Neurospora crassa OR74A: one gene and its partners. The protein of the gene in region 3 binds, or shares a complex with, the protein of the main gene of each other region. Links are inferred from orthologs where the notes say so. Each region holds a gene or a part of one and is shown on either strand. Other genes may lie near its edges.

Region 1 (10,096 bases), on a different chromosome or scaffold from region 3:
TCATCCGTCATTGCAGACAGTAGAAAGACATACCGGATCCCAGCAACCTAGCCAGGTTGGACTCCTTCTCCGAACGACCAGCAGCAACGGGAGACATTTTGTTTTGGTTGTTTGTTGTGGTTTGGTGTTTTAAAGATTAAAAAAAAAAAAGACGGGATGTATAACCGCTGTGTGAGGGGTTATAAGGGAATTAAAGCTGCAGCAGTGCGTGTGTGCGGGGAGGGAAACTGGCGAAAAAGGATTGCAGAAGATCGGACTCGAGGAGACGAGGGAAATTGGGAAGAGAAAGGGAATCACGACGGCGGGACGGAAATGAATCACAAGCAGACCACAGTCACAGAGAGAGAGAGAGAGAAAGGGAGGGAAGACGGGACGGGACGGGGACCGGAAGATAAGAAAACACACGACACAGTACGGCGAGCAAGGTACCACCTCGGACGAGGAACGGGGACGGGGACTGGACTGGACTGGACTGGACTGAGTGGGGGAACGGTTGGAGTCACTCAGGTAGCCCAGGTCCAGTAGGTCACTAGGATGATGATGCCTTTGGTTGACGGGGTCTCGAGTCGTCGGAACTCAACGACCGAATTTTTTTGAAACTTTTTTTTTTTTTTTTCTCCTCGTCCGCGGCGTCCCCCAAGCGCAGCACCGCAAGCTGCGAAATTTCTCGCGCTAACGAGCTCCGACAGCGGGATTTACGAGTGCAACCCTTGCCAAGCCAAGGCACGCTAGTATTGGTTCAGCCAATCCGGGGCTTATCGAACACTAGCGCCAGCCTTATCTGAACCACCGACAGTCCGATGCTGGTTTGTTTGTTACTTATGAAGCTTACACTACACTAACTAAAATACTGTATATATCCCAACATTTCAAGTACTTATCCGAAATATCCTATTCGAACCAGATCACGCATTGGTCAGACATAAAACGCATTGGAAGATTGATCCAAAGTCTTCAGCTAACAAACAAGCGTCACCCGAGTGTTTGGCACCAGCAAAGGGGAACACCGTGATCGCACATGTCATTCTTAGTGTATTCTAGATGACTGAACTCATAATGATGACCATGTTTTTGTTGTCCATATGCTGAAAACGCTCAGATCATGACATTCTCGTCTTCAAAGAGTTAATAGTCCTGTAAAAGAGCCAAGGTATCATCAATCCGCATCATCTCCGCCATCAGCAACCTCTCGTCCTTCAAGAACTTGGCAAACCTCGCGTACGACTCGTCACGCATCATATCCTTCTCCTTGCCCTTGACGTTGGTCCGCTTCGCCAGCGACAACACGTCCTTGTCCTTTTGCCGCCGCACCTCCAGCACCTGCAGGCAGTGCACCATGGTTGCGTAGCATTTGGCAATCAGGCTGCTGTACGCTTGCTCCGTGTCACAGTACCAGAGGAAGATGGACTTTTTCGGGTCGGCCTTGTTGTCGCGCGGCACTTCTTGCGTATGCGCAAAGCCCACAAGACGCATCTCCAGCATCTTTTGTTGAAGGTCCACCTTGCGCATCAAGCTGAGAGACTGGAGCGCTTGCTCCCCTAGCTTGCCCTTCGTGCGGAGGATGCGTATCAACCTGAGGCCCTGGCGACCGCTGGTCTGCTCGATGATCGAGTCGAGTTCTGTCGCCCGGAGATTCTCCATTAGAGGCTTAAAGTCGACCGTCCACTCATCCTCTCCACAGTGACGCACAAAGCCTGGGTGGCCCTCGGCCAACAGCAGGAGATGTTGCCGCAGCTGCTCAGGTCGGCTCATCCTAGCGACCGGCGCGTCCCCATTTTCCTTCTTGGTGTCCATCTCTTCGTCGCTGTCGCTGTAATCACCATCCTCTTCGTCATCGTCGCTATCGTCTTGATTCATAAAGGGAATCTTGTCCTTGGGCGCTAAAGGAGTGAGTCTCTCCGCAGCCGATTTCGAAATGGACTTGCTCGGGATCTTGCCGATTCCGAGTGTGAGATCAATCGAGGTCTTGACCTTATCAAGAATCTCGTTTGTTGTGACCGAGGGCGTCACCTTCTCTTCCGGCGTCAACGCGTCTATGAGCGGGTCTGATTTGCAGCGCGAAATGTTTTTGGTCAATTGCTTGAGCAGTTGACCGTAAACGTATCCTGTCGTCTCTCCGAGGGTCTCGTTGACATATTGGACAAGGCGGCGGCTGCGTAGTTCCACTATGCACTTTTCGTAGTTGATGCGGATGACTTGTCGGGGCTGGAGGAAATGGCAAGTTAGTAACACCGAGTGGACCCTTGTCCCATGGGAAATAACCTACGTCCAACGCCGGATCCAAGTCCTCCTCTTCTTCAGGAGCCCCATTTGTCTCGTTTCCAACAGCCAGCTTCCTTCGCTTGCTTGCGCCTCCATTCTGAGCCAGCTTGCGCTTAAGAGTCTTGGACTCCTCGCGCACCTTGCGAAGGCCCTCAGCCACTCTCTGTTCAAACTCAATCTTGGCCTTGGTGCCCTTGATGCCGTTGGAAAAGTACACGTCCATGACCTCTCTGTGGACTTGCTTCTCAATTTCGTGGGCGCTCTGGAAGGTCTTGCTGTGAATGACATCGATCAACTCGGCCTCAATGAGTCGGCAAAGCACCGAGTTGAGTTGCGCTTTGCTCTTGATCGCGAGCTCGGGTTTCTTGTCGTTCAGCCATGCGTCATCGTTGTTGACCTCGTTGATCTTGGCCTGGTAGGCGGCCACCAAGTCGGAGATTCGGGTCTGTCCGAGGAGCAGGAGATTCTGCATGACGTCGCGGCCGGCGGGGCCGTAGCTGTTGTCCACCATTTCGAGGATCTTGCCGGTGCGCACGAGGTTGTAGGCATATTCGTGATTTACCGAGTATTCGGCCTCGCCCGAATTGGCGTCGACGGAGTAGAAGAGGAGGTTGTGTTGTTGGAGGACGCAAAGACCATTTTTGACTTGGCGGGCGCTGAGTTTGGAGAACTGGCTGATGAGGCGGACCGAGAGCTTTCCTCGTTGGAAAAGAGTCGCATAGACTCTCTGGGGGAGGTGTCAGTATCGATGTGCGTACTCCGGATCGGCATTGGTGGTGGTGAAACCTACTGCGGGGAGTTGGCCGTAGAGCTCGTCGACAAGAAGAGTGCAGCACTCTGCCTTTTCTTTGATCTGTGGTGGTCATTGGTCAGAAGAGAGCAACGAAGAGGAATGAAGGACGAGTACGTACAACTGCCATGGTGGGCTATCAGATGATGTTTGTTGCCGTTGGTGTCGGTGCTATAGCAACCTAGGATTTGAAGAAGATGTGGCTCCTAGAGATCCTCTCACTATCTCTAGAGCTTCTGCGGTTACTACCGATATGATGGCATGGGAGATCTCCAGGGTTTGGTGGGGGAAGAAAAGAAGAGGGCGGTGGAGTCGTGAAATTATATATTAAATTGACATTTGACACTCAGAGAGTCAGTTTTGCATGCGTGGTGGGGGACTACCTGGTGCTGGCTGTTCTAGTATTCTGTGAGAGATGCGCAAAGTAAATGCAATGCGCCTGCAACAGTTTGGTGGTGAATAGTGTTCGACAGACGGCGGGGAAAACCGAATGACAAAATGCTCCAAATTATTTTTTTTTCCGAGTCGCATGCGCGGCGGCGGCAGGGACTCTCCAGGTCCGCGCGTCAATCGCTATGGGCGCGCCAGACCGCGCTAGGTACCTAGCCCCTGGGGTCCCGTCCACCCGTACGTACGTTGTAGTGTAGTGTACCTTATGTGCAGGAGCTAGAGGTACGTACCTCCACCTTTGCCTTTGTCAGTACAAGTACCTAAGCCCAACCCACTTTTCCAGAGTTGCCCCGACGGCAATCCCAGGTCCCGTTGAGTCGAGTCGTGCAAGTGAACGACATGAAGAAATCCATCCGCCCGGCAAACTGACCCAGATCATGATGCTTTTAAAGATGAAACAGCCTTGTCACCTTGTCCTCACCGAACCCGAATCCGGAAACTTCCATCTGATAAAAGAAGCTTCCATCCTTGGAAGGGGTCGTTCATCCGGCCTGTGATGGGCTTATAGGTATCTACAGGTAGGTAGTGTAGGTAATGTACTTATATCCACATCTTCTTGGCTTCCGTCGTCGTTGTCTTCAGCGGATCGCGGGGCATTTGATTCCCTTGCTGCTGCTTCGCGCCCAATGATGAGCTGTGTTTCACTGCTGACCACTGAGACCGCTGGGTGATGGCCTGTGCCAGCCCGTCGTGCGGCTCCCGACTCGTGCGTGGCCGGGTGTTCACGCCTTGGGAGCCTCAGCGCCGGGCGGGCCTGGCAGTGGTCTGCAGCTGGGCAGTGGTCTGTGCCCGGACTGGGCAGCTGCCGGTGCACGTGCAGCCCGGCAACTGGGGCGCTGGTGCCAGGGAATTTTCGGAGTCGGAATTGCTACACTAAGTATACTGAGAGAGACTACGTGAAGCTCAGTCCTCCCAAGCAGTGCTCGCTGCGCAATCATCTAGAACCGTCAATTGGACGACATCGACCCCTCCAACCATGATCTCCCGATCGGCTCTCTCGAGGGGAAGCCAGCTGGCCCTTCGCCGCCCGGCCGCTGCGAAGACGGCCCAGCGCGGCTTTGCTGCTGCTGCTGCTTCTCCCGCGGCGTCATACGAACCCACCACCATCGCCGGCGTCAAGGTTGCCTCGCGCGACGACTCCGGCCCGACCACCCGCCTCGCCGTCGTCGCAAAGGCCGGTACCCGTTACGAGCCCCTTCCCGGTCTGACCGTCGGTCTGGAGGAGTTTGCGTTCAAGGCAGGTCCCCGGTCCACCGCATCCGGACCATGAGAGAGAGAGAAGACGCCCATGAGCTAATAATTGGCACACCTTGGCGAGGTACACAGAACACCAACAAGAGAACCGCCCTCCGCATCACCCGCGAGTCCGAGCTCCTCGGCGGCCAATTGCAGGCCTACCACACGCGCGAGGCCGTCGTCCTCCAGGCCTCCTTCCTCCGCGAGGACCTCCCCTACTTCACCGAGCTCCTTGCCGAGGTCATCTCTGAGACCAAGTACACCAGTGCGTGATAATACCTTCCCTCCCACGAAACCAAAAGATGGCTGTTGTTGACAGTTGTTGTTGTTGCCTTGCCGCCCCATAGCCCACGAGTTCCACGAGCTCGTCGAGAACTGCATCCACGAGAAGCAGGCCAAGCTCGACTCTGCCGCCATCGCCCTCGATGCCGCCCACAACGTCGCCTTCCACAGCGGCCTCGGTTCTCCCCTCTACCCTACCGTCGACACCCCTACCTCGTCCTACCTCAACGAGAACTCGGTCGCCGCCTTCGCCAACCTCGCCTACAACAAGGCCAACATCGCCGTTGTCGCCGATGGTGCCAGCCAGGCCGGTCTCGAGAAGTGGGTTGAGCCCTTCTTCAAGGGTGTTCCCGCCACCAGCTCCGGCAACCTGAACACTGCCGCCTCCAAGTACTTTGGTGGTGAGCAGCGCGTTGCCAAGAACGGCAAGAACGCCATCGTCATTGCCTTCCCCGGTGCTTCCCTTGGCGTCCCCCACCCCGAGACTTCCGTCCTCGTCGGTCTCCTCGGCGGTGTCTCCAACATCAAGTGGTCCCCCGGTTTCAGCCTCCTCGCCAAGGCCACCGCCGCCAACCCCGGCGCCGAGGCCTTTGCTCACAACTACGCCTACTCCGATGCTGGTCTCCTCGCCATCCAGATCACCGGCAAGGGTGCCGCCGTCGGCAAGGTCGCCGTCGAGGCCGTCAAGGGTCTCAAGGCCATCGCTGCCGGTGGTGTCTCCAAGGAGGACCTCACCAAGGCTATCGCCAAGGCCAAGTTCAACCTCCTCTCCGCCAGCGAGGTTTCCGGCACTGGCCTCGTCCACGCCGGTGCCAACCTTCTTGCCGGTGGCAAGCCCATCCAGGTTGCCGAGACCCTCAAGGCTCTTGAGGGCGTTACCGCTGAGAAGCTCCAGGCTGTATGTGTGAACCTACAAGAAGTTGGAAAAGAAAAAAAAGATATGCTAACAAACGTTCAACAGGCTGCCAAGAAGCTCCTTGAGGGCAAGGCTTCCGTTTCCGCCGTCGGTGACCTCCACGTCCTTCCCTATGCTGAGGATCTCGGTCTCAAGGTATAGACGTAGACTAGACTTTGGGGGCGCAGAGCGGGTTGTGCAATTCGTAGTTAATTGAAAGAGGAAATACCTAAACGCAGCGAAACGAACCGATTGAAACTGGAAAGGCGTGGATACTTTTTTGAGAAGACGCCAGGGTTGGGAGACAAAAACCAAAACCGTGTACCAACAGCAAAACCGGCCGGGATGAAGTGTGTTGTAGACCTTTCTCGTTGTGAAGCGGGAGATGAAGAACGAACGGCTGGGGACCGACGACTTTTTGTGCATATACAAACCTCTAGACTTTTTATCATTCCTCGCCACTACTTCTCTAGCAGAGCTATAAAACACAAAATGCAGCAGGCATTATTTCTTTTGTTGACATTGGATACCTGTTACAAACGAGGGTGAAATGTCAAGCTTAAGGAATGAGATGAGATATGCTAGTGAGTTTTACGGCGAAGATAAGTAGTTTGGAAGAGACGAGAATGCTTGAGCTCATTTGAAAGTTTACAAATGCGATAGCACATTCAATGTCAAACATCAATCACACAGGTCCATTCAAAATAGGTATCAGGGGTCGATGTTTACTTTTGACCTTGTTAGGTAAGCTGCCGAGCTTGCCCTGGCGGCGGCGGCGGCGGGCGCCCGTAGCTCCTGTTCCGTCACTGCATGGCATGGAAGGAAGCTTGGGGCGGCGTCTCAGTTGGGGGAGTTGGGGTCACAACTGAAGACAAAAAAAAAGGAGGGGCATCACGTGACACACGACGGAGCTTCGGGCAGCGGAGCTTCTCGGGTTCCCTGGTGTTGGATGTGGATTGGGTGGATGGGTGTGCCAGGGTGGGGACCAGTTTTGTCGAGTCGAGAGTGAACCGAATCGCGCGCAAGCAAGTACCGCAGCAAGCAGCAAGCAGCAGACAGCAACAAGTCTTTCTTCGTTTCACCGTCAAGACAACACCCACCCACCCACCCCACAATCTTCGCCCAACATGGTGTTCGCTTGGAAGGCCGCTGGCATTACGTGAGTATCTTGTCTTTTCGTTTTTATTGGCTTGGGGACGGGGAGAGGCAGGGCAAATAGGGCAGTTTATCGGAAGTGTGGGAGGAAGAAGACCAGAATTGCCGCGACAGAGAGAGAGAGAGAGAGAGAGAGAGAAGGATGGAGGAGGATGATGGGACCAACGAGCCTGCCTACCCACGAACGAGCTCGACAACAGAGATTACAACGATTACATGCGCCGAAATCTGGGGTTGTAATTGCCCCGCGACTTGAAATACGATCGATGGACGACAATCTACGGGCGACCTACAACAGGTGGAATGAGAAAGACTGGGAGAGAAAGAGGACGGAGATAACCCCAGGTCATGGACGACAGCAGGACCCAGGGAAACATTGAGGGAGATCAAGGAGAGAGATAATACACGACACACTTGGTCGAGAAAAGCGCCGAATGTCCATGACATGGAGAGACGGGCCCGAATGCGACAAAAACACCGGAAAGCGAGCAAGCGATGCGTAACGACGACTTCGAAGCAACAAAGCAGGCCAGCATTCATCCAGAGCTACGACAGACATACGCACTACAATCACCAGATAGCGCACGGAATGAGCAACACACGAGGATCAGGAGCAGGGCAAGAGGGGGGAACATAGCAGAGGGGACCGGACGAGAGAAAACAGTACTACAAGACAACGAAGGCTAACACGGTTCACGAAAATTACAGCTACAACCGCTACCTCGCGGTCGCCTCTCGTGCGCTCCGTCGCTCCCTCAAGGAGGATAAGAGAATCATTGCTGAGCGTCGTGGCGAGGCTGCCGAGGTCAAGTTCGCTAAGTGGTCGGTACGTAATAATCTTTTTGTCTTTTGGCTATCGGGGAACAATCAGACAAGAGAAGAAGAAAGAGGAGGGGGGAATGTCACGAGTGAGGAGACGGAGAGAAAAAAAATCATGAAGATGGATGGACACCGGCACTGGACGTAAACAACACGAAAGAGAAGCTAATCACACCCCCTCTCTTTCCAAACTACAGAACGGCAAGCCTGGCGAGACCGTCAACCTCAGCTCCGCCAACGCTGCCGCCGCCGCCGAGAACGCCACCTCCGTTCCCTCTTCTTAAGCGGATCGACACACACACAACCAACACACCGTGACGATGTGCTAGGAATGGTGGTGTAGTGGTGGACCGGGAGATGAGAGAAATAGGGTCATATCGCGAATCGCTCCCGCATGGCACTCAAATCCTCACCTCCTGCCGAGTGTCACTAAGCCCGAAGACGTATGACCTGTATCATCAAACATATTGGGGGAGCGAGGAAGAGAAACTCAATAGACGGTTTATTGGCATTTACTTTGTGAACTGGGTGTGACTGGTTGGAAGTGAATCTGAGTGACATATAAATGAACTTGAAAAAGTGTTAGAATGGGTGTGCCGCTCATTGACAGAGGTAACAGGTCCGAGAGTCGTAGATGTTGCACAAGGGATTCCTTTCCCTGAAGTACAGCGTCTCATTGCCTCTTTGGGCTTCATTGCATGATATGCAAAATACGGTAGGCGCTTATTCGACGAAGCCAGTTGAGTTGAAAGATTGGGTTCTTAAAAATAGAAAATGTGATCAATAAAGAATTGTTTGTCATTTCTTAGCAGCCTCATCAACCCACTGACAAGCGGAAAGTGAGGAAGCTTACCTCTAGGTAGGTATGTACCCGAAAGGGGAGTCGGTCGTTAACATTCGGGCTCACGGACGCTACCAGCAAAGAAGTCCGGGCAGCCAGGCACAGACTCAGGTTCCTCCCCTAACAGAGCCAAACATCACCCGACTTCCTCCACTCACCTAACCACAAACAAACAAATGTTCATCTCAAGTGCATACTAATTACCTTTCCTACGGGAGCCCATCCATAGCTCTTGTAAAAAGAAAAAAAAAAAAAACACAAGACCATGATCCCAGACGACCACCAAGCTGCAGTTCAAAGAGGTTTGTTTCTTTCGCTACAATTCCCAAAATTTCAAATATTTCAACAACGGCACCACCACTACCACACCACGTTGGGCAACAACCCCGCTATAACATTGTAATGACATCTCACTGACCTCCTTGGTGCCACCACCACCACAATCAGAACTGCTCACTCTATCACTCGCAAACAACGACCGCAATTTTTTGTTCGAGGAGCGTCAGGCTCCCAGCATGTCTAATCCGGGGATCATCGCCACCAACATTACCAAAAAGTTTCTCTCTGCGTGTAAAAGTAGGTTTTCCATCTCTCTCCAGCTCCTGCCTCCACGGACTGAGTGAGATCTCATGATGATGATGCTAACCACTCGTTTCCCACTCACACAGCTTTGGAAACCGGTGAGATCGTGAAAGATGGCTACTTCACGCTGTTCGAGGCCGTCGGGGCTCTCGAGGTATGTGTTATCTTTCTGCATCCCTCACAGCTGCATGCACAGGGCACACACACATGACTAACACCACCTCCAGATCGGTGATCCCAAGATGGACAGCGGCTGTCTAGCGCCCGGCGAAACTCTTGAGGAGACCTACGATGTGAATCGACAGCTATCGGCCCCGGAAGTCCTGGGTATCATTGACCAGCTGCTTTGTCTCGAAATGGCATGGCATTTGGGATATCCCCTTGCGCAAACTATCCTCACCAGCGTCTATATCGAAGCTCTGGTGGAGCCGGCGCCGGCTACGTTGCAGGAGGCAGACTTTGTGAGGAATCGCAAGACGCCGAGGGATCCTATGACGACTGTTTTGAGGGCGTACTGCTTGGGACTGGTGAGGACTTGTGCGGATGTGTTGGAGACGATCAGGGATGAGCTCTATTACGAGGTGAGTGCGGCTGCATGAGATGCTGCGAGTGAGTGAGGGCTGACATATACGACAGGAAGAGGATTTTGTCACCAACACCTACCGCCGCAACCTCATGGATCACATTGACCGGTATGAGATCAGGGATGAGATTTTATCAGCCAAACACACGCTCCATGAATTGAGGGCGGAGATCGGGACCGACATCACACAGGCACTTTCAT
Region 2 (9,259 bases), on a different chromosome or scaffold from region 3:
AAAAAAGGCTGGCCTATTGGAGGGAAAGGGGCAAAGTAAACAATGAACAAGTAGAAGGGCACAGCCAGAACAGAATTGGCAACATCACCATCAATTTTACAATGGAGCACTTCCAATGTGTCTACTAGTCCGAGCAGTAACGAATAAGCATAGCTTTTGTCTACTCATTGTGCCTATCGTTGCGAAATTCGCGTAATCACTTCAAGAAACTGGCAAACTTGGCAAACATACTACATTGTAGATTCTGTGTCGCAACAGAGCCCCCAAAGCCAACTGAATCTTCTCTTCACCACCAAATACTTTCCAGTTCGCCCAGCTTCCAAGTGACAAGACACCCCCGTCTCTAATCTAAACCTCAACCAATTCCCCCTCCTCCGTGCCATCCCTCGTCTTCCTCACTTCCGTCAGCTTCTCCCCACCACTCTTCTTCCCCTTCGAATCCTTCGGCGGCACAAACTCTCCATCCTTCAACGTCCACCCCTCCCTCTTCATTCTCGCCCACGTATGCTGGATCTTGAACCTGACCAAATCTCCCGCCGCCCTTGCGTCCTCCGCTGAATCGTGCCCTAGTAGCTTTCCGCCCTGTCCCGTCGTCCCATCGGCGGCGGAATCAGCATCCGGTTCCACCTGGATAGCCTTGTTGAGGTTCCATTCCATCAACATCTTCAGCCCGTGTCGATAGGGAAGGGCCTTCTTGTGCGGAAAGAGAAGAACGGTGTCGATGAGCGTGGGGTGGCAGATGCGCATGGCGTTGAGGTCGTTTTCCAGGCCGTGGCCTATAAGCGGGGTGGCGGGGGATATGAGGCTGAATAGTAGGTCGCGGGCGACGGCGAGGGAAGGAACGATTTGCATCTTTTTGCGCTGGTCGGGTTCTGGTGGGTTGTTGGTTGTGCTTTGGGGCTTGGGGGAGGAATCGGTGTCGATGACGGGGTCAAGAGGAGGAACGGGTTTCCATGGCTCAGCGTTGATGAGATCCTCTGGCCAGACGCCGGAGAAGCGGGAGTTGAGGTCGAGGATCTCGCCCATGGGGCGGATGAGGATGTCAAGGAGTTCTTTGCCGTCAGGCCAGTTGACTGCTGTCAAGCGAACGAGTTCAAGACCGTTGACCGTGTAGCACATTTCGCAGTCGAAGCAGACGGCGCGGTCCTTGGGTACGGAGGGGTTCTCGGGGGTTTCCACAAAGGGCACAATGGTTGCTAGACGGGCGGGGGACTTGACGGTGAAGACGTGAGTGCTGCAGCTTGTACAGCCGGTTGAATCGCCGGCGAGTTGTTTGCAGCATCGGTAAGTCCTCTCTTGCTGGACGGTACTGGTTGGGTTACGCTCTGGGTAGATGAGTCGGCCCCAGTGGTAGGTGCAGGGACCGCCGCTGGTGAGAGCGCCGTCCTCTTCGCGACGGCCGGGGAAGACTTGGAAACGCTTGGTGCAGCGGTCGCATGTCTCCCAGCCCATGGCAGCCTCAACGCCCTCGCGTGCCTTTTTTATTTCCTCTTCAGATGGCGGCTTGGGGACGTATCCATGTTGGGCGAGTTCGGTGATGGACGTGAGAACATGGGGTAGGAAGGCGATCTCTTCTTGCGGCGTCAAACCTGTGTTGATCTCCTTGGGAGGACCGAGAACGGCCTGCTTCTTGGAGCTTGCTTGAGTCGCAGCGGCTTTGCGTTCCTCTTCCTTCTTAATCTCTGCAAGACGCTCTGCCTTCCATTGTTTGGGCGTCATCTTCTTGTAGCCCATGATGCGATTTTTGATGACATTATTGTAGATGGACGGCTTGTCCATCGCAATCTTCTCCTCCAAGTCCAGAGAAAGCCATATTAGTTCTTGCGGAGTAAAAATCAACTTCTTGCTCTCCGCATCTTTGCCGGCCGCCTTTTCCATCTCTTTGTTCAGTCGGACGAATTGTTCGTGCAGCATCGTCAATGCTTTGAACCGGAACTCAAACGTAGCAGGTGCCACGCCCTTGAGCATGCGAGGGTTGAGTGTCTCGACCTTCCGAGAAGCTTGTGCCTTCCGAATGGGCACCTTCTTCTCGGCGCTTTTCTCGGGTGTTGGATTGGCGGGTGATGAGACGGCTGCCGGTTTAGTTGCTGGGGTAGCGGGAGCCTCAGACGGACTTGACTGAACAGACAAAACTGTTGGCTTTCGGCCCAGTGGCGGGGGCGACACAGGTTTCTTGGCCGTCACAGGCTCCGGGTTGGGCTGCGAAGACTCTGCCGTTGTCGGCGGTGTACTCTGGGTAGGCTCTGTCGACAACTTGCGACGCTTTCGCGGATTGTCATCTGCGTCCGGACCATCGTGTTTGGCTGACGCTGGAGCGGCCGGCTTCTTGTTCCAGCTGTGTTGAAAGAGACATCCGGACTCAGTGCATCTGTCGCCATGCGGGCATGGGATTGACCCCAAGTTCTGTAAAACGGTGTCCATTGTTTGAGCGCGGGTTGGCCAGGGGTCACGGTTTGCCAACGGGTTTGCTTCCTGCGAGTCGTCCCGGCGCTGGATAGACGTGTTGCTAATGGAGCGAAAGGGCGGTCTTGAGGGCAATAGAACCACAAGATGACGGGATCTTGAAAGTCTATTAGCGACCTCGCGCGTGAAGCCTGGAAGACGTGCTATGGTAGGCAACTCTGGAAGTTGATGAAGTAGATGTCCACTTGGGAGAAGCCGACTTGGGTGGGAGACTCTTGTCAGTCGGCCCCGGTGAGATGCTGAATGATATCGATATATGGTAAGGTATGTTGTATGTCGTTGTCAAGAAGGGGTGGGAGCTTCCAGGTTGTGAATCGAAGATATCAAATGGTGAAACCGACTTGCTGACGAATCGGGCAAACAAGGAAGGCTGGGTCCGCAGCACTCACTCGCTGCTTCACTTTATAGTCTCAGCGTTGTCAGACCGAATATCCACCTGATAGTCGTAACACGCAGCGTGGTATTGATTTCGACTTGTCTTTGAAGCAATGAACTTTGACGCAGAATGTGTTAAAGATATAAAAGAGGGAGCGCCGAGATAATCGTGGGATCCGAAGAGGCTACAGAACGTTAGCTTGTGGACTTTGGCGCAATCACGTAAAGAAGCAGGTAAAGGTTGTGGGTCTATATTCCAGCTCTTCTCGTTAAGTCAACCTTGAGTGTGACCAACGTCAAAGTTTAAACTGTTGGACCTTTGGGATGACAGCATGAACCGAGTCTTTGAAAGATTGCCCGGTTCAGTTAGGTTGCAGCAGTTGAGATGGGCAGCAGAGGCAGGGATGAAATGCAAAAGCCAGCAGAGGGCAACACATACGCCAGCGGTGAGCACCGTATACTACAAAGTATATCTGACAAGTACAGGCCAAGCGATAGTCTAGAGATGCCCGGCCTCTCAACTCCTCGTTTTTGATGTCTTGTGAGTGTTTTCAGTGTGTTGTTGAGATGAAGTTGATGACAATTCGAGGTTGAGCCAAGAAACGGGAAACATGCCCGTGAGTGAGGCGGGTAGCTGAGGCCCCTGCGTTCGGTCATTGGTCCACCGAACCGCCGCTAAGCGTTACGAGATCCATGCGTCCCTGGCGTTGAGTGTGAGGTCTGTCTGGGGTGTCTAACGTTTTCACCTTTCATAATATACACCTAGTAAGGCATATCACGTCTCAGGAATCCTATATCGGATGGTTGTGACTTTTCTCTGCCCGAACTGGGAGCCTCAGGAAAAGAGTGGCCATTCCTTCACCATTCCCACGTCCGTCAAAATATCAAATCGGATGTCATCTCGAGTGACAAAAGACAAGTCAAGTTCAAAAAACATGCTCCTATTGTAACAAGTGCCTAAGCGGGGAAGATACACAATGCTCATATCATAATAATACAGTCCCATTTTGGTCATTACCTCCCTTTACCTCCGTAGCCTAGGTATCATGGTCCCCTTTCTGCAGAACCATCTTCGTCTCTTTCCCTTACTGATTGCTCCCGTTTACGCCCTGCCAACGTTCATCAACAGATTTGTCCCCTTGCCACCTCCGGGCAGGTACGCCACGTTGGGGTTGGCAGCCAACACCTGGGCAATCTCCCTCGACGCCTCAATCTTTCTGATCTGGATCAAACCATCGCCAGCCTTGGCAATAGACTTGCTGATGGTCTCTGCACTCTCCGCTTCACCCTCGGCGCGGATGACGTTGGCCTGGCGCTCCTGCTCGGCACGCTCGACGATGAAGCGCGCACGCTCGGCATCCTGCTGCGCAATCTGCTTCTGCTCGACGGCCTTGGTGAACTCCTTGCCAAAGGTCATGTGGGTGATGGAAACATCCTCGAGCGCAATGTTGAACTCGGCGGCGCGCTTGACGAGGTCGGCGCGGATGCGCTGCGAGACGGCCTCACGCTGCGTGATGAGCTCGGCGGCGTCGAACTGGGCGACGATGGACTTGAGTACTTCGTTGCCGATGGAGGGGAGGACACGCTCGTCGTAGTCTGGGCCGAGGTTCTGTGGGGATTCCAGTCAGTTCAAGTTCGTTGTGATCCGTCGTAGCCGTCATAAGGGGCAAGTTCTTGTAAACGCACCTGGTAAATCTTGGGCAGAGCCTGCACCTCAGGACGGTGCAGCACTCTGAGCGTCAAGCTGACCATCTGCAAATCCTTGGAGCCGGTGGTGGTAGGGATGATGCGAGGCTTGGTGCGAACATCGAAGATGATGGCCTTCTGCAGCCATGGGATGAGGAAGTGTGTGCCCTCGTTGACGACCGTGTCCTTCACACCGGCAACTCTGTCGAAAATAACCGCCCGCGAACCACCTCTGACGTCGTAGATGGAGTTCTGGAGAAGAGCCACACCAACAGTTGCCGGGATGGCGAACTTGGTGATCATGTCCAACCCTCTTGCCGCCATTGTGAATATCGGTTTGAATCAAGATTAAGGGATCGAACTCGGTTGATGTGGTGGTGAGGGATCTGACTCGAGAGTATTCGTGGACGTCGTTTCCGGGGATACCTCAAGGTGGGCTGTGGGATTATCACACTACAAACACTACGGCGTGGACCGTGGCGTGGATCGTGGTGGTGGTGGTGGTGCTTCCCCAGTTGCAGCAGTAAGCAGCAGTCGTTGCGATGGATGGAGCTTCTGCAAAAAGTGGAGTGCCATGTCCCGTCGCCCGGACCAGGCCCAGCTCTCTCAAGCTCCCCGCATGGCCCGGGGATGTCTTTCAGTGCTTGCGTATGGTGATTCAATACCTATCCTAATGGTCCGTGCACCTTGTTTTGTTCAACAGACGGGCAGGTCGGAAGGAGGCTGAAAGAGAATGATGCTGTAAAGGTACTTGTAGCTTGTACCTTTCCATGCTAATCCCTTTTGAGCCTCCAGCACTCGGGTTTCTGACGGGACTGCCAGTGACGGCTCCATGGCACTTGGCAAATGAAGTGCCAGCCACTCACTGTCGACCGATTTCAGTTCGAACTTCGTCAAACCCGGTTCAACGCCGCGCGAAGCTCTTCCCGAACCTTTACGACGACTGCGTCCTCACCACGACCCGATTGATACCCCCCATAGCGCGTTTCGCGACAACACATATTTCAAGATGCGTCCTACTCAGACCATGCTCGGTGGCGGCGGCGGTGCCCCCATCGGCAAGCACAACCAGTCAGTCTTCCCACTTGTGATTTGGAAGAGCCCGGAACTTCATGGCACAAGCTACCGGCGATGCGCCCTTTTCCCTTTGCGCCGGCTCCCCCTCCGATCCAGCTCTGGATGTTAGCTAACGTGCATGTTGATATAGCTACCTTGGTGGCTGGGGTAACTTTGGTGAGTAGGAACCTTTGCAATTGACGATGCACCGATACCAAACATACGGCAATTCTTCAACAACGGGAAATACCGGGATGGGAGGGAATGCGAATATGAGGGCACGACAGATGGTCGAGCCAGAAGACGAAGAACCTTGATGACCGCCCGCCCACTCGCCCGCACGCCGAACCCTTGACGAACCGATGAGACGACCCCCGAGACAGAACAAGACCATCTAACCCATGTTGTTTTTCTTCCCGACGAACAGGTGGCATGAAGCAGAGGGGCATCATCTCCTACGGTATCAGCCCTAACCGCCAGAACCCCCTCGCCGGCACTGCCCACGACGCCGTTTTCAACACCTTCAGACGTGTCAGCTCCCAGTTCCTCTACTGGGCCCCCTCCCTTGTTGCCGGCTACTACATCATGAACTGGGCTATCGAGCGGTACGTTGCATCACCACCACCCACAGCCCCGAGGGATTTCGATCACGGGGTGGCAAAGGAGGGACCGTTGTTGTCGTCGTTCAAGAGAGTGCCACATTCTAACAGGGCATTCTGCTGGTTAGGAACCACTACCTCAACTCGAAGGCCGGTCGTGCTGAGTTCGCTGGCCAGGAGGAGTAAGCGATGGACTTTACGATACTTGGGCACGGAACCAGAGTGCAGTTCCCGAGAGAGAGAACTAGTACTCAATAGACTAACCTGTATATCACCATCTTTATTCCCACGCGGTTCGAATTGGAGTTGGCATAGACAAGACATGGACCTCTCTTATGGGTATCGGCATGTGCTGGTTTTGGATCTCATACGACACCTGAAACACCACCACCAAGTCGTTTCTTGTTTACATTCGGCTCGACAGATCGCATGTGATTTCCAGCCTTGTCACGATCCTAATCTATCCACGCATCATCCGGACATTCCCTTGGTTAGCTCCAGTTCTCTTGTCTTTGGGTACAATCATTGTGCATCTTGCCGGTCCGCAGGCCAGTCTTTTCGGCGCTTGGTGCTCGTTGGCTGCACTAGATCTTGCGAGGAGAACCATGAGGTAGCGAGCCGGTTCCTTTCATGGAGTTTGATTTTCTTTCTCGCCTCTGGAAGCATGTCAGACGCTGGAAGGCTGAAAACTGTAGCGGCGCCCGGCCTTATGACGTATCACCACGCCTGTGAAGCCGAACGTCCTAGTTCATATACCGTTCCTCTCCCGGGACAAGCTAACCAGCCCTGCTCAGCATTCTCACCTCCATGAATAGGACTGTGAATACTTCACCTTCAAACTCATCATCGTAGATGCCGATACCTATCCAAGGTAAACAATGACGGGAGGTAGGTATGTTCGAAGCCATTTTATATTCAAATTCAAAACTAAACAATGGCACTGCACTAAGCCCCAACTTCCAGACCGCATTTCCAGGGCAACATTCCAAAGTAGGCATAAGTACATGTTAGTTCTCAACTACTATTGGTATGGTGCCTAGTCATGTCATTAGCTGCAGTGCATTTTCCAGAAACGCTCGTGGAAGAAAGAGCAGATCGGTGAAGAAATCCGGCCATACATCCATCAGCCCAACCAACGCAACATTCAGGGGTAATGAATGAAAAGAAACCAAACAAATGCAGGAACGGGTGGCCCAAAAGCGCAAAACGAACCCCCCCCCCCCCCCCCTCCCCCCCCCCCTTTTTCTTTTTTTTTTCCTACAACCTCGGTTGGTATATTCTATGATTTAATGATAGTCTTTTTTTCCTTTCGCTTGAGTTGCATTGGGCTGTCAGGGTCTCGCCATTTGTTCGCTTTTGCAAAGAGATCATAGAAGTATTTTTATGACGGGGTTGATTACATGGAGCATGGGTTATGTGTTGAAGAGATGGAAAAGACGAACATGTGAAATTGTGTTCCGTGTTATTAATTTTGCACAGACCATTCCAAGCTATATAACATATATATTGTCGAGAGACTGAATGATAATGAGGATACAAACACCCAGAACAAAATTGGTTCACATTTAATCAATTGGCGTCGCTAATCCCCCTCCAAACAAAAAGAGATCCAACCAAGGAGGTCCCATGTTGTGTCGGCGCTGATGTTGAGTGGTTAGGTCAGTTTGTCGCCTGCAGTGTTGTTGTTGTTGACTGACAGCAGCAGCTCGCGCTGTGAATTGTGGATGTGGAACCCCCACCCCGCCATGGCCCATCCATCCATTCATCGAGATGGCCGACGACGGAGAGGGGGCCTAGGCAGGTCGATCGGGTTTCCCGCTCGCTCGTCCGCTCGTTGTCAAGTCAGTCGGGAGGAACACGTGAATGGATTCAGTGGATGAAATGCCTGGCATTTGTTGAGCACCCCTGGAAAACCCCGTCGAGATGCCCTTTTTTTTTTTTTTTTGTCTTGAAGCCCATTATTTCTGGTGAACAGCCACTGAGCCGCCGCCGTTGTTGTCTCGTTAGTCGTTACCTTCCCCGTGCTGTTCGGCTAGCGTCCCGTTGTGTTGGCGACTGGACTGGACTGGTGTATGTAAAGTCGTTGTCTGTGATAGCTGGGCGCCACTCCTCGATAATTGGAGAAGAGAGAGAAAAACATCCAGGACGGGAGCTCTTCACAACCACGACGGCATCACCAACTGAAACCCCGATAATAAAGGCGGCGCATATACATGATATGGCCGGGAGTTATCAGTGCTTAATTGCACGTGCTGGGCTTCGTGAAGTTATAATAAACCGGGGTTGTTGACTTTGTTTGTATCTTGCCTGTGAGGTCGATCTTTGGAACTGGGCGGTCACCACCCTTCCTTTTCTTTTTCTCTCTTTTTTTTTTTTTTACTCGGATCCCTATCGATTACCCAAAAAGGGTGTCATGTTCGTATTTTTTGATAGCCAACCAAGTCCAGACAAAGCAGATCTGGGCGGGCCTCGGACGTCCCATCTCACCACTTGCGCTGTTCGAAGTTCGACAGGCAACATCAAGTTTGTACAACCTGAATGGAACTTGCAACTCTTTTTGGAAACAACTTCAGAAAGAAAAGAAAGAGTATGTAACCGAGCGATTGTTTCTGGAACTACAGAAAAGGTTATTACACTGCGTGCGGTTGACGACATTGGCCCCTTCTTCGCGCGACCCCCCGAGTCTCCAAACAGTACCTCCAGTCTCCAGTCTCCAGACCTCCAGGCTCTGACCCCAACATTGGATCGCTGCCCGTCTCCAGACTCCTCCGGCCCCAGTGTATGTATGTAGCTCGCTGCTTCTCGATCTTCCCCAAAAAGTTCCCCAACCGGATCTCGGCCAACAAATCATACAAACCTAACCTAACGGGAAACAAGCCATATCCACGTAACCGTTCGTTTCTCCTGCGCCCGCTCTCTTTTGCGGCTTTCAGTCCAACCATCCTCGCCATCCGCAATAATTCCCCGTCACAGAGCAACCGAACAGCTTTCGGTCGCTGCGCAACACCAAACCTCGGCCGGGCAACGAACGCCCCTCCCGTACCCTGCAGGCCACCCCAAGCCCAATCCCAATCCCACGT
Region 3 (10,172 bases):
CAAGATAACCAACGCATCGATCGGATCACCATCCCTAATTCATCTCAATCTCCATATCGTCAACCTCGCTCTCAAAGCCTAAGGGTTGCTCAGTAGAAAATAGGCCAAGACTAGCCCAGTATTTCGACCTTCCTATCCCGTCTTTTCGCGGTCTTTCTGGGCGAGTTGGGCAATAGCTCAGCCTCCTTTGGCCACTCCACGACGCGCGTAACAACCACCAAACCTCTTGGCTGCATCTTAGCATTGGTCGTGAGCAGACCATGCGGACAACCTGACCACAGTGATGTTAACGTGGGACTCTAGATTTTGGTAACGAGGATAAAGAAGAGACAAAGGATAGGAGACATTGTGACAAGGTTAGGAGGAGCCAAATTGAAAAAAAAAATATCTTTTTTGATCCGACCCAGGCTCGATCTGGGGACCTTCAGTGTGTTAGACTGACGTGATAACCAACTACACCATCGGACCAATTGATGCTAAGCGTTGTAAGGTTAGTAACTATAGTCTCAGCAAGAGAGAGTTCTCTTTGGTGGTCCGAATTTCGGACTTTCTGCAATCGTTGAGCATCAGAGGTTGAAGAACTGCAGGTCATAAATAATCACATTTTGCCTACTACCATGAGACACATTCTTTTGATGGTACCGTGAGTGGGTGGCGGAAGATCATGAGGCATAGAAAACAGAATGCGCCAGGAACCAGAAGCACAGCCTCTTCTATGGTCAGCATCACCGAGTCCAAGCAAGGATTTCGGCGCGAAAGTGAGGCATCGGCTATAACAAGAATACATTAGGGCGGATAGGTCTGTTCCTCAAGGTCCCAAAAGTCGAATATTTCATTTTTCGGAAGTTGTGTGTACAGCGCACAATGACGTGCTTCACCACACCCTGAGCCTGATCTGTCGTCTGGTCGCCGACCGCTCGGAGCATTCACTTCTCCAAGGTCAAGTAGACTTTGACCTCCACTTCATTTGACCAGCCAGCCTCGAGGCCCATCTCTTTCCATGCAGATTCTATGTCAATGTCGAGGACATGGCTATCCATCCTGTTGACAGTGACCGTATGAGGCGGGATGGGCTGGCCCTGAATTGTGACCATAAATTCGTCTTGGATGGATAACTCCGGAAGGTGGGATATGTAGATGCCTAAACACGGTAAATCGTCAGTCACGCTTTCATCAAGTCGTTCCGAAATTTCTCACCTAGTACACCCAAGGCCTTCAGCCTGGTGCTTATGAACAACCGCCCGTTCTCGAGCAGATCGGAGCTGTGGTTCAACATAGCAGCGCATCCGGTCATCTTTCCCACCAGCCCCAGGCTAGCCACGTATACACGACCTCTGCTCTCGGTTTCGTGGAGTGACAAGGGAAAGACGGAAAGAATGTCGTAGCCGCCATTGTCGAGAGATGCCGTCAACAGAGAGGCAGAGGAGGTCGTCTGAACTGGCACGGTCACCTTTCCACTCTGATGAGAGCGTACCACGTACCACATCGATGGCAGGACGCCCGAAAATCGGGCAAGAGGGATTAGTTCTGTGAGCGGACGGCCGGATACGTTGAAGATGCCCATGATCGGAGTGCCCGTGACCGCCCTGCCGTTGTAAGCGCTTATTTTGAGCAGAGACAGATCATCGTAGTTGACATATTGGTCAAGGCTACGACCAAGCACGCTGGGACGGAAAATGACTGTCCTGCCTCTTGGCGTCACACCGGTCATCTGCTTGATCAAATCGAGGTCGTACTGGCCGGGAACATCTGTAATGTAAATGGGACCGCCGCTCACACAACGTGCGGCGGCGTGAAAGCCGGCATATGCGCCAGTAGTTTGGAACATGTCCCAGTCTGGGAGGATGTTCAGATGTTGGGTAAGTAAGCTGTTGTGAGCATTTGCCCAGACATGCCAGGGGTGAGAAGATGGGACGTCGGGGAAGAAGTCATCCGAGTTCCTGCAAAGCATCGTGGGCCGTCCGCGGGGAAGTTGTGTATGAAAGATGATCTGAGGAGACATGGACATGCAAGATATGGCTCTCCCGCTAAAGTACCGAAGAGATGCGAGCAGCCAGTTGTCTAGGTACGGTTGGATGAGTTCGCGTCGGACCTTTGGCGATACCCAAGTGTCGACCATGAACTGCGCATCGGTCTTGACTCCTGCCACACCACTCTCGGAGAGAAAACGATAGAAATCATCGTAGAACTTGTGGATATCCTCCTTCGCGATGACTGTCATCTTACCGCCAAGGGGAATGTTCTTACGTGAGCTATCTTCGCCTCGCACAACCTCGATTGTCCTGTAGCGTTTGGCAAGATTACCATCGGGTGCTATGCCTGCCCAATACCCTAGAAGGGCATGCCACACAGCAACGTGCTCGATATTCTTGTGCTTGGATCGTATTTCGGAGACCAGTCCTGTGAGACCATTTGGAAAGGCTTTAGGTTCAGCCTCGAAATCATTCCAACCTTGCTGCCATTGATCTCCATGGTAATCAATATCTTGCCAATTGTCATCGATGATCAGGTTGCTGATGTTGATGTTGTTATCGGCCAGAGCATCTACTGCCCTTATAACCTTTTCCGCCGTCAACCTTTGGCCAAGGGCATTCCACGTACCTACGTACTCATGTTAGACTGCATCATGGGCATATTGACTACTGTCACACTCACAATAGCCCAATCCATCATACCAGTTCTCGTACCAGTTAGCCTCGACATTGTCACTAAGCTTCTCCAGCTTCGTAGAAGACTCTCCAGCTCTGTCAGCCGTGCTGACGAGGCCGCGAGCGTGGTACATAACAGCAGCATTGGCACTCTCAAAGTTGTCGCCAACCGCTACTAAAACAGTACCGCTACCGGCTTTCGCGCTATCGTTTCGAATCTGGCCATCAAGGTTAGTTGATGATGGTTGTATACTTGTCTTGTGATTATAGGCCTACATGGATGGTCACCCGTCCAAACTCGTCGTTGCGAAACAGCGTCATGCCATCGACGGCATTGTTGATACCGGCGAAACCCAAAAGGACCAAGTGTTTGCCCTTGCTGGAGAGAAACGAACAAAGTAGTGCGTCTTTATCTAGTTCAACAGTCGATCTTCCCTGTCTTGGAGCGAGCCAAGGAGACCAGTCTCTGACCAAAGCGAACCACCTGTTGCCGCTCTGATCAGCACCTGGACAAGATTGTGAACACCGGCTATCGCAGGAGGCCCGAAATCCTTACCTCAGAAACCCTCCCCAAGGAATGCCGAGCGGAACATGGCTGAAAGTCGAGTTATCGTCGTCTTTAGCCCCGTCCACGGGAACCTCAATGGTCCAGAGTCGAGTCCCGGGACATTGGCTTAGATGAGAACTCCATTTAAGAGATGGGTTCAAGCCGTGGATCAGATCTGGCAAGTCCTCATCATCGCTGCCTTCTGGCGCTCCAACATCCACCACAATGTAGCCATCACCTAGACCCTGTTCGTTGCGGACCCATCTCCAATCATGGTCAGGCCCCTGGCGGAACTTGATGGTGAAGTTCAACATTGACTGCACGGTTAAATTGACAGTAAAGTGCAGGCGCATTAGCTGATCCGCAGGGTCGTGCAGGGTCGACGGGAAGTCACTCTGCCCACTTGGGGCGAAGGGAGTTTCGACCCAGCTTGCCTTGCGACCATTGTAGCTACCAGTGGAATGCCAGAGCGCGAGCTGCCACGAGCCAGGAGCAAGGGTTTTGGGGACCTCTAACACAGCGTGAAAAGTCACACTGGTATCCTTTAATTGGGTGATCTGCTCCAGAGGCGGGTAGGTTACGACGAAAGGGGACATTTCCAGGACGAGATCTGTTGGTGAATGAGCGATATGCTCGATGTCGGTCGTGGCAGCGGGATCGAGAGGATATCAAGAGTGGCATACACTATGACGAAGCCGGAGGACTGAGAGATGTAACACAATAATTGTATTGAAGGTAGGGGGCAATTCATGCAGGGTGGTTATGATGTCAAACAATGATATGTCTGTCAAGAGGTGTGTTGTTCCTGTTCAGCCTCCCTGGATGAATAAGACTCAGGAAGGGAAGAAGCCAGGTGACATTGCCAGCACAGAGTAAGAATAGGTAGGTGTAGCAGGCGTGGGCTCGTTGTGAGAAGTCGGATTGAATAGACCATAGGAGTCAGCTAGGGCTAGTTGCAGCTATCCGATCGATGCCACTAACTCCCAAGGACACGTGTAGTGCCGTAGGCTACTACGTACGGTACGAACCTCGGGAGGAATATTCCCAACTGTAAGTGATATATACGAGAGGTGGATGAGGAAGCTCTTCCTCGGAATCGCTGAAAGATCGGGATGTTTGCGGACTATTCCAATCTAGGGAGTAGCAGTACATAGCTTGAGTCGAGCATGAATCATCTCCTTGGTAGTGATACGAGCAGTTACAGTGAGCTCGATTGTAGACGACCGATATGAGATGCGAAGAGGGGATCGATTTTGTAGACCTGATGAGTACTGTATGTAGTGCCACCAGATGGTCGATCTCTGAACGGAAAAACGAAGGAATTGGTAGATAGACAGCCCTACCGGACACAGTCGAGGTATCTCTGTGCCTAGTTGATGAAATGCAACCTCAAACTCCCCTCAAATAGACTTGGCAATGACATGGGAGGTCGATGTGACGGGAAGAAATGGGCCGGACAGGTGAGCTGCCTCTCGCCTGTGGTGAGCTACGGGAGCTGGGGGCATGGAGCACGGAGCTGTTTGCTGGCTGAAACCCTTGATGAATGTTTCGCTTGTTGTGGGAGAGGGGAAGCTTCCTGACGCCCAGCTCCGTCGCTGACCCCTAACCCTCGTTCCGACTGGGGCTAGCACAGGCTTTTGTGTTCCCCACTGGCTAAAGATCGGTCCTGGCCAATCGAATGGCTGAATTTCCAAGCCAAGTACCCGGCTTCGCGCAAGTGCACGGACCCGTTCTTGTTGCCGGGCCTTCCCGAGCTGGCCTTGGAAGTGAGGCAAAATTAACGACTTTTTTGATGTGAGCAGCTAGTAGAGGTCCTCACTGTAGCATCCTTTCCTTCAAACCGCTCATTCCACCCCCCTTCAAATCACCGACCTCCATGGCTTCCCGGAGACTAGCTCTCAACCTGGCGCAGGGCGTGAAGGCCCGCGCTGGGGGTGTTATCAACCCTTTCCGCAGAGGTCTTGCTACTCCTCACAGCGGCACCGGCATCAAGACCCAGACCACCACCCTCAAGAATGGCTTGACCGTGAGGACGCCCGCCCTCCCCTCCCCCGGCTTCCGAGCCCGCCCCCGAGCCCGCCTCCGGCCCGACTGTCTCCCTCCCCGACTGCTGCTCCGGACCCCAAGCCACCTCCAGACTTGTCCTAACGTCAATTGCTATCACAGGTTGCTTCCCAGTACTCTCCCTACGCCCAGACCTCCACGGTTGGCATGTGGATCGATGCCGGTTCCAGGGCCGAGACCGACGAGACCAATGGCACCGCCCACTTCCTCGAGCACCTTGCCTTCAAGGTACGCCCCCGAATTCACGAGTCACGAGTCCTCTCCCCGGGCTGTGGTTAGCTTTGATATGGCGCGTTGGGTTGTTGGATCGGTAGATTGTATGAGAGGGCATCTGGTTAATTCGACGACGACACGCAGGGAACGACGAAGCGCACTCAGCAACAGTTGGAGCTCGAGATTGAGAACATGGGCGCTCACCTCAACGCCTACACCTCGGTTCGTCTGATCTTGTCGTCCGGCGCATCCGCCGCCCGCTAACCCGCGAGCACAGCGCGAGAACACTGTCTACTTTGCCAAGGCTCTCAACGAGGACGTCCCCAAGTGCGTCGACATTCTCCAGGACATTCTTCAGAACTCCAAGCTTGAGGAGTCCGCCATCGAGCGCGAGCGCGACGTTATTCTTCGCGAGTCGGAGGAGGTTGAGAAGCAGCTCGAGGAGGTCGTCTTCGACCACCTCCACGCTACCGCCTACCAGCACCAGCCCCTCGGCCGCACCATCCTCGGTCCCCGTGAGAACATCCGTGACATCACCCGTACCGAGCTCGTGAACTACATCAAGAACAACTACACCGCCGACCGCATGGTTCTCGTTGGCGCCGGTGGCGTCCCCCACGAGCAGCTCGTCGAGATGGCCGACAAGTACTTCTCCAAGCTCCCTGCTACCGCCCCTGTTAGCAGCGCTTCCATCCTCTCCAAGAAGAAGCCCGACTTCATCGGCTCTGATATCCGTATCCGCGACGATACCATCCCCACCGCCAACATTGCTATTGCCGTTGAGGGTGTCAGCTGGTCCGACGACGACTACTTCACTGGCCTCGTTACTCAGGCCATCGTTGGCAACTACGACAAGGCTCTTGGCAATGCTCCCCACCAGGGCAGCAAGCTCAGCGGCTTTGTTCACAAGCACGACCTCGCTACCAGCTTCATGAGCTTCTCTACCAGCTATAGCGACACTGGGTAAGAACGCCCCTGTTTGGTTTCGCACCTTTTTTTTATTCATCTCTTATCATCATTTTTCTCTTTCTGACGTACAACTACTGACATGGCAAACTATAGTCTCTGGGGTATCTACCTTGTCACTGACAAGCTCGACCGCGTTGACGACCTTGTCCACTTCTCCCTCCGCGAGTGGACCCGTCTCTGCTCCAACGTCAGCGAGGCTGAGGTTGAGCGCGCGAAGGCTCAGCTCAAGGCCTCCATCCTCCTCTCCCTTGACGGCACCACCGCCGTTGCTGAGGATATTGGTCGCCAGATCGTCACCACCGGCCGCCGCATGAGCCCCGCCGAGATTGAGCGCATCATTGATGCCGTCTCCGCCAAGGACGTTATGGATTTCGCCAACAAGAAGATTTGGGATCAGGACATTGCTATCAGCGCGGTCGGCAGCATCGAGGGCCTGTTCGACTATGCCCGTATCAGGGGTGATATGAGCAGGAACGCTTTTTAAGCGATAGGGAGCAAGAAGGGGGCCGGGTTCTGTATTATAATCGGTGTTACATTCCAGCCCAAAATCTGTACTCTAGGGTCGTAGGCTAGACATAGAGCAATCAATTTCCATGCGTACAAGTTTCACGGTACAGGTTCGGTCGGTTGTCAGGGTCATCCAATGGTTACTATGGTATGTTGCAGGGCGGGAAAAGCGAGGGAGGTAGAGGCCGTGATTGCCACCTCGACTACGGATTTCTGGCATGGTTTGCGAATCTTTGACGACATTGTGCTTCACGTGCTTACTCCAGGCGAGAGGATAAGCAGGACAAGAACATGATTAAACGATGAGAGACTTGCCACGATGCTGGAGTTGGACGAGACCGCATCCAGGGCTTTTCGCAACACGTTCATCTACAGCCGAAATCTGTGATGGTGGTATCCAAAGGGTTACCATGAGCCGATTTCTGAATCGCAGTCTGGAACACACAGCAAGGTGTCGGTTGTGTTGACAAGAAAGTATACAGACTATGAAAAAGGCACCTTGTAACATGAAGATTACACATGCTGTAATGCCTGCTTTGCTTGGAATCTCTACGCGGGCTGGGCTTCGGCAGGTGGCACAGACCAACCGGAGCCGGGAGCTGGGGTCACGGTACCTCTACGGACCTGAGATGAGACAGTTGTGACAGGGCAGTGGATGTCGGGGTACGTACTCTGCTTCGCTACATACCTGTAGGTAGTCAATGCCCGGCCTTATCGTGTTGGTGGCGATCGATTTTAGCGCAGGTGGGTGCAGTGCGCACGGGGCAACAAAGCCTTTCAGCCAAACGGCAGTCGAACTTTTGGCACTTTAACGTGACGTCCAGTGCAAACTCGGGCCGGTGACCATCCTAAGCACCGCCCTTGTTCTGTCGCGCCTTGTCTTGATCTGACCTCCCCGTCTGACCCTTTCCTATTTGCAGATCCCTCCCCCGAACACATTCCCCCCCGGTTGTTCGGTTGCTGCACCCTCTCTTCGACCCGCGGTCTGCGAAGCGAACTTGCGCCGGTCGGAGGCGGCATATATCCATCAGCTGCGATTCAGTACTCTTACACCTCAACATCGAATCCTCCGTCTCTATCGCGGTCATGATTCCCCAATCCGTTCGACGGGTTGTGGCTGCCGCGCCGCAGTCGCCCGTTGTCTCCTCTCTGGCAGCCTCGTCCGCCCCTCGCGCCGGCGCCTCCTATATACTCTCGTCCTATCAGCCCAATGCCCTGCAAAAGCGACGATACTCTTCCTCCAAGCCGTCCAGCCCCGATGACGGTTCCTCCCGGGCCTTCGCTGCCCGCGCCTCTGTGCCCGCCGCCGGCACCTCCAAGACTCCTGGAGAGAAGCGCAAGCGCAAGGCGAAGGAGCCGGTCATGCCGCCACTCCCCAGCGTGCCCAGCACCAGGCATATCAAGGACGAGGGTTTGTTTATCCGCGCCTTTTGTTGCACAGGCTTAGAGTCAAGTCGCTAACAAGACGTTTTAGCGCTCGCCCTTTCAACGTTCTTCGCCCTCCACAGGCCGATTTCAGTCACTCAACTTCTTCCCAAGACCGTGACCGAGGAGTCATTCGCCGAGATCTTCAACCACCGCAAGGGACACAAGGCGACCGATGTCCTTTCGACCTTGTCGCAGGCCGTACACGATCTTGAGTCGCCCATGTCTGGGCTTAGGCTCTCCGATAACGATGTCGAAGACGGCTCTACCAAGATCAGCCTGAAGCACCCCGACGGCACCGAGTCCGATGTCTACTTTCAGCTAAACTCCATGTCCGGCCACTTCCTTCCCTTCAACCCTCCTCCGCCGCCGGAGCCCATCGCTGAGGTTGACGAGGCCGCTGCGGAGGCCGAAGCCTCTGCTGCTATCGCCGAGGAGATTGCCGCCACCGCCGAGCAGGAGCCGGAAACGCGCGTGTACAAGGCGGTTGTCACGATTGAGGAGACAAGGGATACCAACGGCCAGTACAAGATCATGGCGCACAGCCCACAACTCGTCGAGGACGATGCTGTGCAGCCGCGCAGCTTCCTGGAGCGCCTCGCCCTGCGCCAGATTCGCTATGAGGAAGCTCGCCAGCAGCAGGGGATCATGCATGCTATCAGCGTGCGCAGGCAAAAGAAGCTGAAGATCAAGAAGAAGAAGTACAAGAAGCTCATGCGCAGGACAAGAAACGAGCGTCGCAAGCAGGATAGACTCTAAACCACGCAAGGGTTAATCCGGGCGGTAGATGCTTATTTTCTTTTTCTATACCTCACCTGCAATGTACAATATCTGCTCCATATACACACGCTCACGCTGACTAACCACCAGGTGCCTCGTTATCCAGTGATCAGTGTGCACTGTTTGAAAGCTTCATGACTACACTTGCTTAGAATCTTAACGGGGATGTTTTGTTGGTTGGCTTCAGTTTCTTCGGTGCCAGCATATTTGCACTTTAAAGAAGATAAAAGAGGCAAGCTCTGTTGGTTAAGTTGTAGGTATCAGTCGTAAGTAGTAGAAGAGGTCAATATCCTGTCAAAATACGCTTTATAGACTCCGTGTAACAGCTTTGATATATGTGTTGCGTCCACTGATTGATTGAGCGCAGGGCTTTTTATCACCCAGTCAGTTGCTCTTCAGGCACCATACGTTCTCGCTTGTCATAGGTCACCTCTCAAACGACGTATTCTGAATTCTTGTTGGGTAGGAAAGACTTTCATGCATCCGTCCATTAGTTCTAAGATGCCAAATGCCCCGGTGTAACCCATTCTGTATTCCTGATCATTGACTCATAACTCAGCTTACCATCATCCCCTTTCCCTCACAGAATTCCAGCCCCTCAAGCAACACTCTTCCTCAGATACTCCAACCACTGCTCCAGGGTCCAGCTAGAACTAACCTCCCCTGCGACCACCCCATCGAAAATAACCGTCGGACTCACATGCACGCCCACCAATCTCGCCATCTTGATCACTGTCTTCAAATCATTCGTCACCGCATTACCCACATTTAAACTTCCATCATCTCCCTTCTCTGTCGGGATAGCCAACAGCTCATACAACTCCTTCTCATCAACCCCCGCGCTTTGGGAAGCTAACTTCGCCAACCGCTTATACGTCTCATTCCGCGTCTCATTCACCAGTGAAACGTCGAAATAAGCCTTCTGGTCTTTGAACAGGGCCGCGCTGAAGTCCCAGAATTTGGTGGGGGCTAGACGTTGTACAGCGAGCCCGGCTTCGTGGGTTAGGGTGGAGGAAGGG

What was found.
Region 1: the proteins of pep (region 3) and NCU03559 are in contact, whole or in part, in a cryo-EM structure (PDB 8Q1B), measured with the Schizosaccharomyces pombe proteins. The link is inferred for Neurospora crassa OR74A from reciprocal best matches to the Schizosaccharomyces pombe genes qcr1 and qcr2. Residues at the interface, in NP_595827.1 of Schizosaccharomyces pombe: Ala15, Thr16, Thr17, Ala18, Leu19, Pro20, His38, Gln42, Thr43, Glu69, His70, Phe73, Lys74, Lys82, Glu85, Leu86, Phe88, Glu89, Asn90, Thr91, Gly92, Ala93, His94, Leu95, Asn96, Ala97, His109, Ala110, Phe111, Glu146; in NP_587698.1 of Schizosaccharomyces pombe: Glu37, Thr38, Pro39, Thr40, Thr42, Lys71, Ala78, Leu79, Thr82, Arg83, Glu86, Leu87, Gly89, Gln91, Arg106, Phe107, Leu108, Glu110, Glu136, Thr140, Ile143, Pro206, Asp207, Ala275, Val276, Lys277, Trp278, Ser279, Gly281, Asn282.
Region 2: the proteins of pep (region 3) and qcr8 are in contact, whole or in part, in a cryo-EM structure (PDB 8Q1B), measured with the Schizosaccharomyces pombe proteins. The link is inferred for Neurospora crassa OR74A from reciprocal best matches to the Schizosaccharomyces pombe genes qcr1 and qcr8. Residues at the interface, in NP_595827.1 of Schizosaccharomyces pombe: Gln168, Arg246, Phe247, Val248, Gly249, Ser250, Glu251, Ile252, Arg253, Ala254, Arg255, Asp256, Asp257, Asp258, Gly341, Asp430, Glu440, Gly441, Leu443, Tyr445, Asn446, Arg449; in NP_594714.1 of Schizosaccharomyces pombe: Trp13, Trp14, Gly15, His16, Leu17, Pro20, Lys21, Gln22, Lys23, Gly24, Ile25, Ile26, Thr27, Tyr28, Ser29, Leu30, Ser31, Pro32, Phe33, Gln34.

What each region holds. Positions count from the first base shown.
Region 1 is NC_026502.1:227,056-237,151, forward strand, and holds NCU03559 (ubiquinol-cytochrome c reductase complex core protein 2), read left to right. Parts: upstream 1-3,806; 5' UTR 3,807-4,478; coding exon 4,479-4,739; intron 4,740-4,828; coding exon 4,829-5,003; intron 5,004-5,085; coding exon 5,086-5,918; intron 5,919-5,981; coding exon 5,982-6,077; 3' UTR 6,078-6,556; downstream 6,557-10,096. Other genes in the region: NCU03561 (mitochondrial carrier protein), read right to left, coding at 34-97; NCU03560 (DNA-directed RNA polymerase III subunit rpc-3), read right to left, coding at 1,126-2,205, 2,267-2,989, 3,053-3,115, 3,174-3,182; NCU03558 (hypothetical protein), read left to right, coding at 7,043-7,074, 7,779-7,896, 8,087-8,173; NCU03557 (amino-acid N-acetyltransferase subunit Mak10), read left to right, coding at 8,996-9,032, 9,178-9,306, 9,399-9,466, 9,540-9,893, 9,949-10,096. UniProt on the Schizosaccharomyces pombe protein: Component of the ubiquinol-cytochrome c oxidoreductase, a multisubunit transmembrane complex that is part of the mitochondrial electron transport chain which drives oxidative phosphorylation.
Region 2 is NC_026505.1:5,784,069-5,793,327, forward strand, and holds qcr8 (ubiquinol-cytochrome-c reductase chain VIII), read left to right. Parts: upstream 1-5,433; 5' UTR 5,434-5,533; coding exon 5,534-5,595; intron 5,596-5,731; coding exon 5,732-5,757; intron 5,758-6,007; coding exon 6,008-6,185; intron 6,186-6,307; coding exon 6,308-6,365; 3' UTR 6,366-6,672; downstream 6,673-9,259. Other genes in the region: NCU08945 (RNA exonuclease 3), read right to left, coding at 349-2,421; NCU08946 (hypothetical protein), read right to left, coding at 3,941-4,447, 4,525-4,848.
Region 3 is NC_026501.1:2,691,465-2,701,636, reverse strand, and holds pep (ubiquinol-cytochrome-c reductase subunit beta), read left to right. Parts: upstream 1-4,971; 5' UTR 4,972-5,071; coding exon 5,072-5,221; intron 5,222-5,361; coding exon 5,362-5,487; intron 5,488-5,616; coding exon 5,617-5,694; intron 5,695-5,749; coding exon 5,750-6,435; intron 6,436-6,534; coding exon 6,535-6,925; 3' UTR 6,926-7,278; downstream 7,279-10,172. Other genes in the region: NCU02550 (alpha-galactosidase), read right to left, coding at 927-1,141, 1,198-2,601, 2,656-2,866, 2,925-3,132, 3,205-3,791; NCU02548 (hypothetical protein), read left to right, coding at 8,035-8,359, 8,423-9,132; NCU02547 (hypothetical protein), read right to left, coding at 9,752-10,172. UniProt on the Schizosaccharomyces pombe protein: Catalytic subunit of the essential mitochondrial processing protease (MPP), which cleaves the mitochondrial sequence off newly imported precursors proteins. Preferentially, cleaves after an arginine at position P2.